2 linked regions of the Tribolium castaneum genome follow. The protein of the gene in region 1 purifies or fractionates together with the protein of each later gene. This does not show direct contact. Links are inferred from orthologs where the notes say so. Each region holds a gene or a part of one and is shown on either strand. Other genes may lie near its edges.

Region 1 (5,981 bases):
TTAAAAAAATATTAGTATCTAGTGTAGTTATTTGTTTATCATTATGCTTGTTATATTTTATGATAAATATTTTAGGTGATCGAAAAATTGTAAAAAATTCAGTTAGAACCTTTGCGATAAAAATTAACGCAGACTTACCCATATTGGATTGTGGGCTAATATTTTGATTTTGTGGATACTGCGGCCCATTGTTAAACTGTCCATATGCTGGGGGTAATCTGGGTGATTGTTGGAACCCTGATGGTTGTTGTTGGTAAGGAGGTGATTGTTGGAGCAATTGATTGATGGGTGATTGTTGTTGGGGTGGTCTGGAATGACCAGGACTGGGAGAACCATGTGGAGGTAATTGAGATGAGGGTGAGACGGACTGTGAAGGGTAAATTCTACCATCAACCACAATTTGACCGATTGTTGACATGACTGAAAAGTACCATGATTTCAAATAATTAAAGTCGTCTGTGACTGAAATTTGATCTAAATGACATTAATGACTTCCACAACCTACTTTAATATAAAAAATAAATAAATAAACCAAAACAAATTACCTGTTGATAAACCTACCAATGAAAGCACAAAAAATTAAGCAAAAATTTAGTCCAAGCATTTGAGTCAAGACAAACACTTACCTTTAACAAGATCTGGAAATTTATCCAAAGCCAGATGAATTCGTACCGGTATTTCTGGATTTGGAATATCGGCTCGTTTACATTTGATTCGACGTAAGTGATCGGTGACTTGTTTTTTACTGTATAATAGAGCCATATCACTGCCGTTATCTAAAGCATGTTGTGTGAACTCTATACAGTGATCTGTCATACGTGAAAGTTGCTCTAAAGCTTGTTTTTTCTCTTGTAACGTCTTTTGTTTACTATCACACACTTCGGTTAATTTCGAAACTAATTGTTTGCCTCTAACATTAATCGTATTTGTCAACCTTCCAAAAAAATTAATTATACATTTAATCTATAAATTGTAATAATCAATTACTTGACCACTAATTGTGTGATTTCCTTAACAAGTGCTTGTTTTTTGTCAACAATCAAATTTTGACGATCGTCTATTACCTTCATCGCACTACATAATAGTGCCCTCTTGTAACTGAAAAATATATTGCGAAAATTAATTAATACCCATTCTCTCATATTTTTTTCTTTGACGATTTGAAAAAAAATGGGTTTACTCAAATGTTAACAAAATTAACTCAAATAACTCGCAATTTTCTCACTCTGAGAAATTTCACATAATAATAATAATTGTGACATTATTTATTTATCGTGATTTTTTGCCCAAAAAAATTACCTAATTTTTTTATACGTACCCAACATCCTTCAACATATCAGCAATAAATTTTCTTGTCTCTGACGCAATTTCATTGGTAAATTTATACTTGTGTTCCCTATGTTCAATAAGTTGGCAATCGCGACAAGTTAATTTATCGCACGTTTCGCAAAATAGTGACAATTTCTCCTGTGGATGAATCTGACAAAATAGATTAGGTGCAGAATTATTTGTAGATGATTGGCTGTCAGTAAGTCCCTCTTCTTTCGGTTTAATGGTATGGTCTTTAGTTATTTTTAGTCTAGAGTAATTAAAAATTAAAAATCAATTGATTTGAATGAATAAAATACCTTTGATGTGCTTGTACACAACTATCACAAATGTACTCTGAACAATCAACACACCAACTTGTAGCAATTGCATCATCACTACAACTGCTACATTTCAACTCTGCTAATTTGGTCGAGTTGTCTTCGTTACTTGCTAGCTCTAGCAAAAACTGATTTTCGATTATTTTACTTGGCTCACATACTATATTGCACTGTGGACATTCAACAGTAGCTGAAATAAAATATTGACTTATTGATTATTACGATTTATTGGCGTACTTTTCTCCAACTCTTCGTAAAGCTTGTTACCAATGCAGTTACCACAAGCATTATGCAAACACTCCAATAATTTGGGTTCGTCACTACCACTCAATACCTGCTCACAAAAGACACACTTGAAGGTGTAAGAAGTTTCCCCAGTTGTTGGACTCTCTACATGTTCTTCAGTGCCTTCAGCAACTTCTTTAACTTCATCCTTCGATTCTTCCACTGTTTCTGTTACAGAATCATCACAAATCATTTCACTCTGCTCATTCAGATTCTGAACTGAATCAATCACATCCTTGGTGGTAGCGTCTTGCTGATTCATATAATTGCCCTCGTTGTAATAAATATTTGATTCAGCCATCGTGGACAATATTAGAACCAATTAAAAATGAAAAATTGATGATGTTGGGGGAGCGCCTTTGAAATTTTAATCACCACCTTGATTAGGGCCGTTTGGCTACCATTTACTAACATCGTCTTCACCCGTTTTTTGCATTATTTACACTTTTATTTACTTTTTTTTTCCAATATTTTGGGGACGCTTTTCCAGAAAACACATCAACCTCTCAAACTTCACTACGACTATCACCAACCTTACAAAAACCACGACCCTAACTTCAACACGAAATTTCACGACAAAACTTACATTATCTTAATAAAAACACAGAAATATTTAGATTTGGGGCAAATCTCCACAAAATTTGGCCCAGATTTGCCAAAATTTGCATCAATTCGGGTAATTTTTCTCGTCAAGGTTGGCGGTCTTTTTTGGCGCTTTGTAACTTCAAAGGCACGGCACCGTCATTATCGTATTTAAATTTAATTTCACTTTGTTTGCCCGTTTTAAAATACGGGTCGGGGTTTAATTTTTTATGAAATTAAGTATTTATTTAAAAATTGGGGGGGGTGCGCGTTGCGTCGGTATGTTAGACACTTCCACCACCATCGCCACTTCCATCGACCATCATTTTTGACGTTTCTTTCAAAAAGCGCAATTTTGTGGTTAAATTCGTGGTTATTTTGTGAGAATTTGGCGATAAAATGACAAGGTGAGTGATGTAATTAGTATTAACTTAGCAGCTACACGTGTGTGTTTCAGAGCTAATATCGAATTAGGTAACGTAACCCCACATAATATTAAACAACTAAAGCGCTTAAACAGCGTGGTTTTTCCCGTCTCTTATAACGATAAATTCTACAAAGATGTGTTAGAGGCGGGTGAATTGGCTAAATTAGCCTATTACAATGATATAGTGGTTGGTGCTGTGTGTTGTCGAATTGATACGTCGGAAAAATCTCGTCGTTTGTACATCATGACTTTAGGCTGTTTGTACCCTTACCGTAGACTTGGAATAGGTACATTAATGGTCCAACATGTCTTATATTACGTGGAACAGGATGGCAATTTTGATAGCATATTCCTGTAAGAGTTTTTTTTTATATTAAACCCAATAACACGTTCTTTTAGCCACGTGCAAGTAAACAACGAAGGAGCGATTGATTTCTACAAAAAATTCGGTTTCGAAATCGTCGAAACTAAAGAACATTACTACAAAAGAATAGAACCGGCAGACGCTCACGTTTTACAAAAAACTCTGAGGAAAAAAGGACAAAGCAACGGAAACGCTGAGTAAAACACATTGCATGATTGATTTTTTTGTTACAGTATTTTTTAATTTCAAACACATTGTATAATTGTTTAATAAAGTCATCGTTTGCGTTAAATCTGTTTATCTGCAACCACATGCCGAAATTACCATTTCGTCGTAAAACTTGATCATAACATTGCCAAATCTATCGTAAAACATTATAGGGAGAGGAGCGTATTTTGTGGGGCCACAACAGGGACTTTTACGCCCCAGTTCAGGAAAGAAATTTGTGGTTTTGTGATGGTTTGGTAAGTGGTGGGTTTGATAACACGTGCCGTGGCAATTGTAGGCGTTATAACCAGCTGGTGATATAATAAATTTCATCCAGTTGAGTTTTTGGAAGTCGACGTATAAATCATGTCTTCTGCAAGCGTTACTTTCGGTAATTTCATCATTTGTTCCTACAATACAATAAACATACAGGGTTGGGCGAAAATATGGAGCCAAGTGTTTTGTGCCTAAATTATGTAACTTAGAAAAAATAACTTACCATCACTTCTCGGCGATTCTGATTTTAATATAAGAAAAGTCCTAAACGCGTTTCTATTACTGTCGTTAAAAAGATTAAATTGTTCGTCGTTTGGTTTCGAAATTGTGATAAATATCGACAAATCCGTTGTTTTTTTTATCCAATTATGCAACGATTTGGTTAATTTAAACACCTGGCGATGATTTAAGTGTTGAATGAAAATTCAATATAATTGTTACCTGCCAGCCACTTTCAGCTTGATAAATGTAAATCACATTGAGCAGTTTGTGTGAATCTGGATTTATCAAAGCCGTTTCATTGATATCATTTTCGACTTGATAAAGGCGCAAAATTAGCGATTTTTGTGTCAAATTGGCCTCAACTTTGTGGTAGAAATGTAACTCAACCTCCGCAACGTCCAATTTACTCGAATTAAATTTGATTATGGTTGAATTTAGCGGATTTGCGTTGAAGAGAATGTGAACAGGAGCTGCCACATTTTGCGAATATGCTTCGTAATATTTGTAAATGTATGATGGTAGTTTATTTCGGGTGATGTTGGTCCAATTGTAGTTCCATTCGGAGTCTAAAAGTGGGTGAATGTAGGGTTTAGTGCCCTAAAACAATTTTTTTTCTAATTTACTAGTACTACAACATTATTATTACATTCGTATTTGTGGCAGTTTTACGTGTGACGTTCCTATTATTCCTGAGTTCACTTATTTGAATTGCGGGATAATTCGTTTGATTAAAATTGACACGATTCCGAACCATGAACTCATTTGTAGTTTTATTCAAATTAAAATAATACGTTTTGGCTTCGATTTGGGCTAAAACAAGGAACAAGACCACAGTTATCAACCGCATTTTTCACACAAACTAAATAATTTACCAATTACGACGCCTAACAATCCAGGAAATTGCAAATTCTCTAATTTACGGCAATTTTCAAATTACGCGCCGTCTTGTCCTTGAACCATTCCATTAGTCAAATTTGAGGTTATGCTAATAAATTTAAACAAAACATGACTTTTGTACTAAAAACGGCAAAAACTTTACGCAATCATTGGAAGAAGTCAACGTTTGCAGCCGTGGCCCTACTGTACGGCTTTGAATACGCCAAGGAACGTTTCGAGTGAGTGACATAACCTCACATTAGCCCCCTCAAATTTTATGTTAGGACCCAAGAATTGATGCGTGTTTATTGCGAAAAGGCGGCAAGATTTGGTCTTGAACCAATTCGTGTGGAGGCTGACCCCCGTAACGTTACGGTAATTCTCAACCCCAATGCCAATAAGCGTAAAGCTGGTGATGAATTTGAGAAATATTGCGCCCCCCTGTTGCATTTGGCTGGAATTTGTGTCAATGTTGTTAGGACAGAGTCAGAGGGGCACGCCAGGACTCTTATCAATGATTTAAACGGGACTGATGCTGTGGTTGTGGCTGGGGGCGATGGGACTGTCTCTGAGGTGATAACGGGGCTTTTGAGGCGTACGCAGGAAAACACCAACGGTTTGATTCCAATAGGTTTGTGTTAGTGGGTTTTTGGTGAAAATAATAAAGGTTTGAAGGTGTCTTGCCTTTGGGTAAAACAAATTCTGTTGCTAAAATTTTGTTTCCTTGTGGGAGTCATTTGGAGAAGGTTCGCTCGTTGGCTGATGCCACAATGGCAGTTGTTGAAGAGGTTGTGAAACCTATTAATGTGTTAAAAGTTGAGGTGTTGGAAAATGAAAACAAACCGATTTATGCAGTTTCTGGGATCAAATGGGGGGCTTACAGAGACGCGGAAACTAAAAGAGACAGTTACTGGCTTTATGGCAAATTTCGTAATTATGTGACTTACTTATTTAACGGATTAAGAAATAACTTGTCTTGGAATTGTTCAGCTGAACTTAATTACACACCACCTTGTTCAGGTTGTTCAAATTGTGCGAAACAGTCACAACAACAAAAAAAGTGGTTCCAGAGGTAAGTGGCATTTGTAACTTA
Region 2 (6,451 bases), about 6.3 Mb from region 1:
TGTAATTTTAAACATTGAGTTGCGTTCGAAAGAAGAATTTTATTTAGTTTTTCTTCAATTTTAATTTCAAGTAAACTGATTAAATCAAATAGCAAAACACTTTTTGAAGTTTTCTTATAAGAGAAAAGTTTTCAAGTTTTCTGAAGTGTTAATAAACTTTTACAAAGAAAAACGGTATAAAAATGAGTTGAACAAAAAACTGGCGTCATAAATCAATAAAATTTGATTAGCTATGTATCTGTAACAACCCAATTAAAATTAAAACAACGCATATTCATGACTGATGAAACATTATCTTAGGATTGGAAAAAAGTTGTCCACATTAAACCATTTCCTCCGGAGAATAAATTTTTTGCTAACACATTTTAATTTGAAACAAACTACTAAGCCCCTCAGGAAATCATTTAACTACACCTTACAATTGACTCAAGAATTTTACTAATTGAAACAAAACACGAACTTGCGTAAAGATAAATCAAATTTATTTTTCTTTTTTATACGCTTGTGCTAATTGAATTAATAATGACTAATAAAAATGTCCTTAAAGAACTGGATCAAGGAAAGTTTGTTGTTATCGGTGTTGTGGGAGTTGATATGCCGGTTTCGGCAAGAAAACAATGCCAAATTGCATTTAAACAAGAAACAAAATAGCTTTAAAATTCTTGTTTTGGCGAAGTAATAGCACACACACACATCACTTCTTTAATGTTGTAACAATTCGTTAAGTAACATAATGGAAACGCTTTAGTTTACAATAGCCACCTGTCAGTCAAACGATTTGATTTCTTGACAAGGGAAACTTTCGTCAAGAACGAAAGCGGAAGCATCCCTCTGGGCTACAATAAACAATTTAAATAATAATCTACCTACGAAAACTGCGATGACATAACGCTTCCCTTATTTGGGCAAAGTGGCTGTAGGTGCCTACGGTGTAGGTGAAGAGTGAACCCAACTTTAATGGGCTTTACTTAACTTGATTAAGAGTTTTATTGAACAAGTTTCGTTTTAAAATAACAATAAAATTCTCCCCCGCATATAGTAGGAAAGCCCGGGGTGTCAAATTCCTTTGATAATTATTACATTTTAACCTTCGAACTAACTATTGTTAGGTCGTGTCGTGAAAGAGGGAAGTGCCGCCGGTTTGAAACAATCGTTAGTAATTAAGTGTCGCAAGGTTGCTAGCAATTTGGTTATTTTTTAGAAAATTTGGCACCTTCCGAATTGAAGAAATTGCGGAACAAGCAGCGAAAAGCTCGCAGGAAGGCGGAACAAGAGAGTGCTCAAGCAAGAGAAGCGCAAGTGAAACGTGACCACCACCATAAATCACGCCAGCAAGGGGATGTAGAAGCGGATGCACCTCAGTTAGACGAACTAATCCCCGATAAGCTGGCACGGGTAAAAAACCAAGGTAATTAACTATAAATTTGTTGTTTGTGGGTAATTTCAGGTCGAAGATCCGCTCGAACAAGCCATCAAGTTCCTCCAACCCCTTCAAAAATTAGCAAAAAATCGAATAGAAACCCATTTAATGGCGTTTGAGGTTTATTATCGGAAAAGTGAGTGGGTGTGTGATGGCTACAGTTTTATTGAGTTGTTGTTGTTTTAGAAAAAGTTCTGTTGATGTTGCAGTCCTTGAAAAGGGCTCATCAAATCGCACCGCAGAATCCAAAGCTACACAGTTGCCTGATCAGATTTTACGAAGTGATCGAACAAAATAAAAACTCGTGGGATCCGGCCGTTGAACAAGTGGTGACCAAAGAAGTGCAAATTTTGTTTAAAGGAAAAGACGCCAAACAGCTCAATAAAGAATTCCTAGAGGCGCACTCGCATAGTTTAGAAGCCGTACTCGAATGCTGTCGAATGATGTTCTATCTCGACAACAAGACACAAAGCACTGCTCTCAGTCTGGTCACCAATCTAGACAATAAATACGAGGATGTCACCCTACAAGTAAGACAATTCAACGAAACGATTAGCTAAAAAAATTACTCGGTAAAAGCCAAATTGCAACTTTAACCGACTAATTTCTTTTGATAATTACTGAAAAATTCAAACGAATGTGGTTATTTTTGAAGGGTGTTTATGTTCTATAACAATTTCCTTGATTTATTTTTTTTTAATTTCTTTAATTTTCTTAATTTATTTATTTAATTTCTTTACAAATACTTTTTACAATCTGCAATCCAATTTGAACAGCAAACAAGCGGTGTCAGAACTTAGGGCAGATTTCATTAATTGAATATAGTAATAATTTACGTATATGAAACCTCCAGTTTAGTTTAAATTCTTTGGAATTGAACTTTTAAACCATTCTTTATTTCAACCTTGTTTTTAATTTCGTCCTAAAGTTGATTCAAGCTTCGTCCTTGCGCAAAATATGTTTTAATTTTCGACGTTGTTAAGAAACTTTTGGGCCTGTTTTACGGAATTTTGCCAAAAAAAATGAGTGTCTGGCTGACAAATCATCCTAAACCAACCAAAAGTACGTTGATTCTTTTCTAATTTGAAATGTTTTGACGAAATTTTATGCAATAAGTGAGTTTGCAATACAAGGTAAGTCCTTATTTAAGGTCTATTCTAAAAAAATATCTGAAATAATTGTTTTTGACAATAAAAATGTGCCAAAAATCCTGGAAAAAGGGCAAAAATAGTGTAATGTTCACTCTTCCATTGGTGAACTTGCGGTGGATTGTGGATTTGAAAAAACTTCGACGAGAGAGCTTTTTTACTTGAAAAATGTGTTCAAGCATTTTAAAAAGACAAAAATAATAATTACGTGTTTGTTCGGCATTTTTAACACAATTCCGCAAAAGAAAAACACTTCCAAACGCACTAAATCTAGCGTAACAGATCAAATAGCATCATTTTTGACCTTCATGGGAAGTTTTTCGCCTTATTAGATGGATATTGTTAAAGCACGAGTTTTTTAGCTCAAAGTAAGGCAATTAAGACATTTTATGAGCTATTTTAACGAAATTTCGCGAATTAAAAAAGTTTTTTTGTTCATAAATGGGTCAAAAGAACGTCCATTTTGATCTATTTTGATTTTTTTTTCTCAAAATAATAAAAATAAATTCACCGAAAAAGGTAATGTCTTTCATCATTGGCCGCTTCTAAGGAATTTATGCTAAAACGAACGTTTTTGACTGAAAGAGTACTAGGAACGCTCAAAAATCTATCGAAAAAGGTAGGTAATGACTGTTTCATCTAAGAAATTTATGCCAAAAAGAACGTTTTTGGCTGAAAAACATACTAGAACGATCAAAAAAAAAGCAAAAGCAATCTAAATTTGCCTTTGTTCGGTCTGTTTGAGGGAAATTACAAGAAAAAAAGTTTTTTAAATGTACAAAATTATTGGAAAAAGACAACACTTGCGTGGTTTTTCGCCTTCTTTTGGGAAATTTTCTATTGTAAAGAAGATGCTTAATCTGAAGAAGACTGCATGTTTTATATAAAAAATATGGTTTGGGTTGAGAATGGATTTTTATTTTCCTCTTATTTTTTGTTTAACGTACCTTATCTGTTATGTAGTCACTGTTTTCTTAATTATTTTAAACCTTGTAACATTTCTTGTCGTACACTTATCCAATTATTTTGTTTTTTAGTTAAAGTATTTTGAAAAGAAATAAAACAATCCGAAACTGTTAAATACTTAAATTTCGTTTTCACCGTTTAATTACTGGCCGGATTGCTTTATTTATGTAATCTTAGGATGGAAAAAAGTTGTTGCCTTTTCAGAACTGCGTGAATGTGGCGGAGGCTTTGCGACGAGGCGACTTCGGAAGTTGCGACGCTCAATTAGAGGATTACATAAAGAAATGCCATAACCGTTTTCCGTTCGCCGCCGATTTTAAACCGGCGTCGGCGTCCCCCAGCGAGAGCAATCACGTGTCCCAAGACCAAGACAACTGCAACAGCAACTGATGACCGCCGTTCAATCTGCGCCTACAACTTTGCAGGGAATTAACCGGTGTCTTAGTGTGCAAGTGCTGACTGTATCATCCGGTTAAAAAGTGTTTTAATGAAATTGTCGCATAGGTTGTTGATTTTTGTGGTATGTCGTACCTCAGGACTGGTAACTAATTGTTTTATTATGTTTTATTTACATCTCTTTGCTTTCTCTTTGTATATTTTCGCTTGGAATTGTTGTGAATTATTTCGGAATTGAATTTTATTTTTGACAGTTTTTTACTCACCTTGCGGTACGTTGTAATTCGATTTAATGACTGTATTGGTGACAAGACTAGAACCGTTTGTACCGTTGGGTTTTTTACTTGTGTGTTTCATAGTGAAATTAATGAATGGTCTGGAGTCGCACTGACATGTCCACCGATGATGATTCTTCACAATCAAAATAATAATTGTGTGATTCCAGTTTTAGACATAATAATCATATTCACAACATTAAGTTTGTAGATACCCATTACTCGTATTGAAGCCGTTTCAATACCATAATTTATAATTATTGTAAATTTTGGTTAATAAAAAAATACTTAATACTTGTAGTGATTTATTAATCTTTGCTCAAGAAAAGACATTAGTTTTATAAATTCTATTGAGTCGTTTACAATTCACACAAATGAGTATTGAGTAATAATTTCTCACGAAAAGAAATTTGGAATGTATGATACAAAGGTCTTCATTTCTTCAATAAATATAACATGATTTTCACAATGTGGAAGCCACGTGTTATCAGCTAAAACTACAATATGTATAGTTTATGTACACTTTATCCAATACTGAACCTCGTAATTGTTAAAAATACAATGGCCACATGTACTTGAATAGTGCGAACCTTCCCTTTAACTCAATATGACAATCGTTACGAGGAAGTTCCGCACGAATATAATACATTATAATACTTTTTCCCTTACTAACATTAAGAACTGAGTACGTTAATTAATAAAAATCTTGTTATTATTTATACAAATTAATAAAGTTGGTCATTTCATTTACAATTATCAACAGGCGTATGACTAAGCAGAGCCAAAATGTGATGATATACATCGGAATGTTTAAGCCAGTCTTTTTCAAAAGTCAAAAAACTGTCAATTTCCACCACCTCGGGGTATAAAACTGATAAATTCACATTCTATTCATTATTATTAAGGCAGCAGCAATGAGTTTCCTTCTATCAACAAAAAACATTTTAAATAAATTGCACCAAAATGACTAATAATGTTCTTATCACTTGTACGTCTAAGCTGCATAATCAGGCACTATGGATTGTGAAATGTTGATATATCATTATGAGTCTTCACCGATAATTCAAATTCAGTGATTGAGCAGGATTGAGGCCAGCAGACCACACACGAGTGAAGTCTGTTAGTCTCGCAAACAACCATACGTATAACACATACAATAAAATTTACAGCCAAATACGCATCGTACAGAGTTAACACTTGCCGAATTAAATACAAAATATAATAAATATACACAAATTAGACTAGGAATACATTATTGTAGGGGGGCGGGGCGCTCACGCCCGAGGCTTGATAAATCAGGTCGGAATAACATTTTAAGTACATTTAAAGATAAGGAAGATTTAACAAAAAAACATATTTTTTGTTGGTAACATTTTAATCCTTTTTAATATCTGCATCGTAGATTATATATTTTAAAACATGTTGCTGATAGCAACGTGTTTTAAATTAAAATGTCCAACAAACAAAAATTTAATAACACTTATACGCTTAAGTTTTCGGGTGTCTAGGTACGAAACTCGCATGCGCTCGTTGCATAACGACAGCTTTCGAACTTTAATCTTGTGTATTTTTTCAGTTTTTTTTTTCTTTTAAACAGAATGGACTGGCTACGCATGTTAAACTTGAAAGCGATTTCTTATTTATCGCAAGCTTCGAAGTGTTGGCGCCCCCTTCCCGCCCAACATCACACAAATCACTTTATTGGCTAGTATTAAATACTCAATATTGCTAACAATAATTTCAATTGTAACCGATTCAACCCTTAAACAAGTCTGAAAATTACGTAAGCCACAAAGGTTATGACCAAAACTCCTTATCCGCCTGCTTCTGCCGCGACCTCCTCGCTTGCAGCGGCACCGTCGGGTCCTGATTTTGCCTCGGAACGGGCAAATCAATGAGCGTCGTTGGCGAAAACCTAACGCGACTTACAGAACTATTACTATCCTTCGCCGAAACGTACGAACTATCGTCACTCGTCAGACTATCAGGCGGCGTTGGATTCGTCGGGGTATTCCCCCCAGAGTGGCCCTGACTCGCCTGGTAATTATTCCGCTTCAAACTCGAGCGTAACTTCGTAAAACCCGAAGTCTCCAACGTGGTTGGACGCTCGAAGTTCGACTCTTGCGAGTTCTGCCGCGAGTAGGCGCTGTAGTCGTAGTCGTACCGCCGCAGGTAACCAGATGTGTAACTCCCCTCATCTTCCAGCTTGAAGCTCGGGTTGACGTTTGAGCCACTTGTCGTAGTCG

What was found. Proteins that work in one complex are often made in the same cells at the same time.
Region 2: the proteins of san (region 1) and Naa15-16 purify together in Drosophila melanogaster (affinity purification with mass spectrometry, with the first as the bait; 3 studies listed by BioGRID). This does not show direct contact. The link is inferred for Tribolium castaneum from reciprocal best matches to the Drosophila melanogaster genes san and Naa15-16.

The regions. Positions count from the first base shown.
Region 1 is NC_087402.1:194,029-200,009, reverse strand, and holds san (probable N-acetyltransferase san), read left to right. Parts: upstream 1-2,764; 5' UTR 2,765-2,915; coding exon 2,916-2,923; intron 2,924-2,973; coding exon 2,974-3,297; intron 3,298-3,342; coding exon 3,343-3,508; 3' UTR 3,509-3,599; downstream 3,600-5,981. Other genes in the region: derriere protein, read right to left, coding at 3,605-3,924, 4,014-4,185, 4,232-4,609, 4,659-4,859; Mulk (acylglycerol kinase, mitochondrial), read left to right, coding at 5,018-5,127, 5,173-5,519, 5,564-5,960; E3 ubiquitin-protein ligase TRIM33, read right to left, coding at 139-420, 627-934, 988-1,098, 1,319-1,579, 1,629-1,839, 1,887-2,253, 5,147-5,342. UniProt on the Drosophila melanogaster protein: N-alpha-acetyltransferase that acetylates the N-terminus of proteins that retain their initiating methionine. Has a broad substrate specificity: able to acetylate the initiator methionine of most peptides.
Region 2 is NC_087402.1:6,528,029-6,534,479, forward strand, and holds the end of Naa15-16 (N-alpha-acetyltransferase 16, NatA auxiliary subunit), read left to right. Parts: intron 1-1,201; coding exon 1,202-1,395; intron 1,396-1,447; coding exon 1,448-1,556; intron 1,557-1,606; coding exon 1,607-1,950; intron 1,951-3,723; coding exon 3,724-3,924; 3' UTR 3,925-4,499; downstream 4,500-6,451. Other genes in the region: mitogen-activated protein kinase kinase kinase 11, read right to left, coding at 6,003-6,451.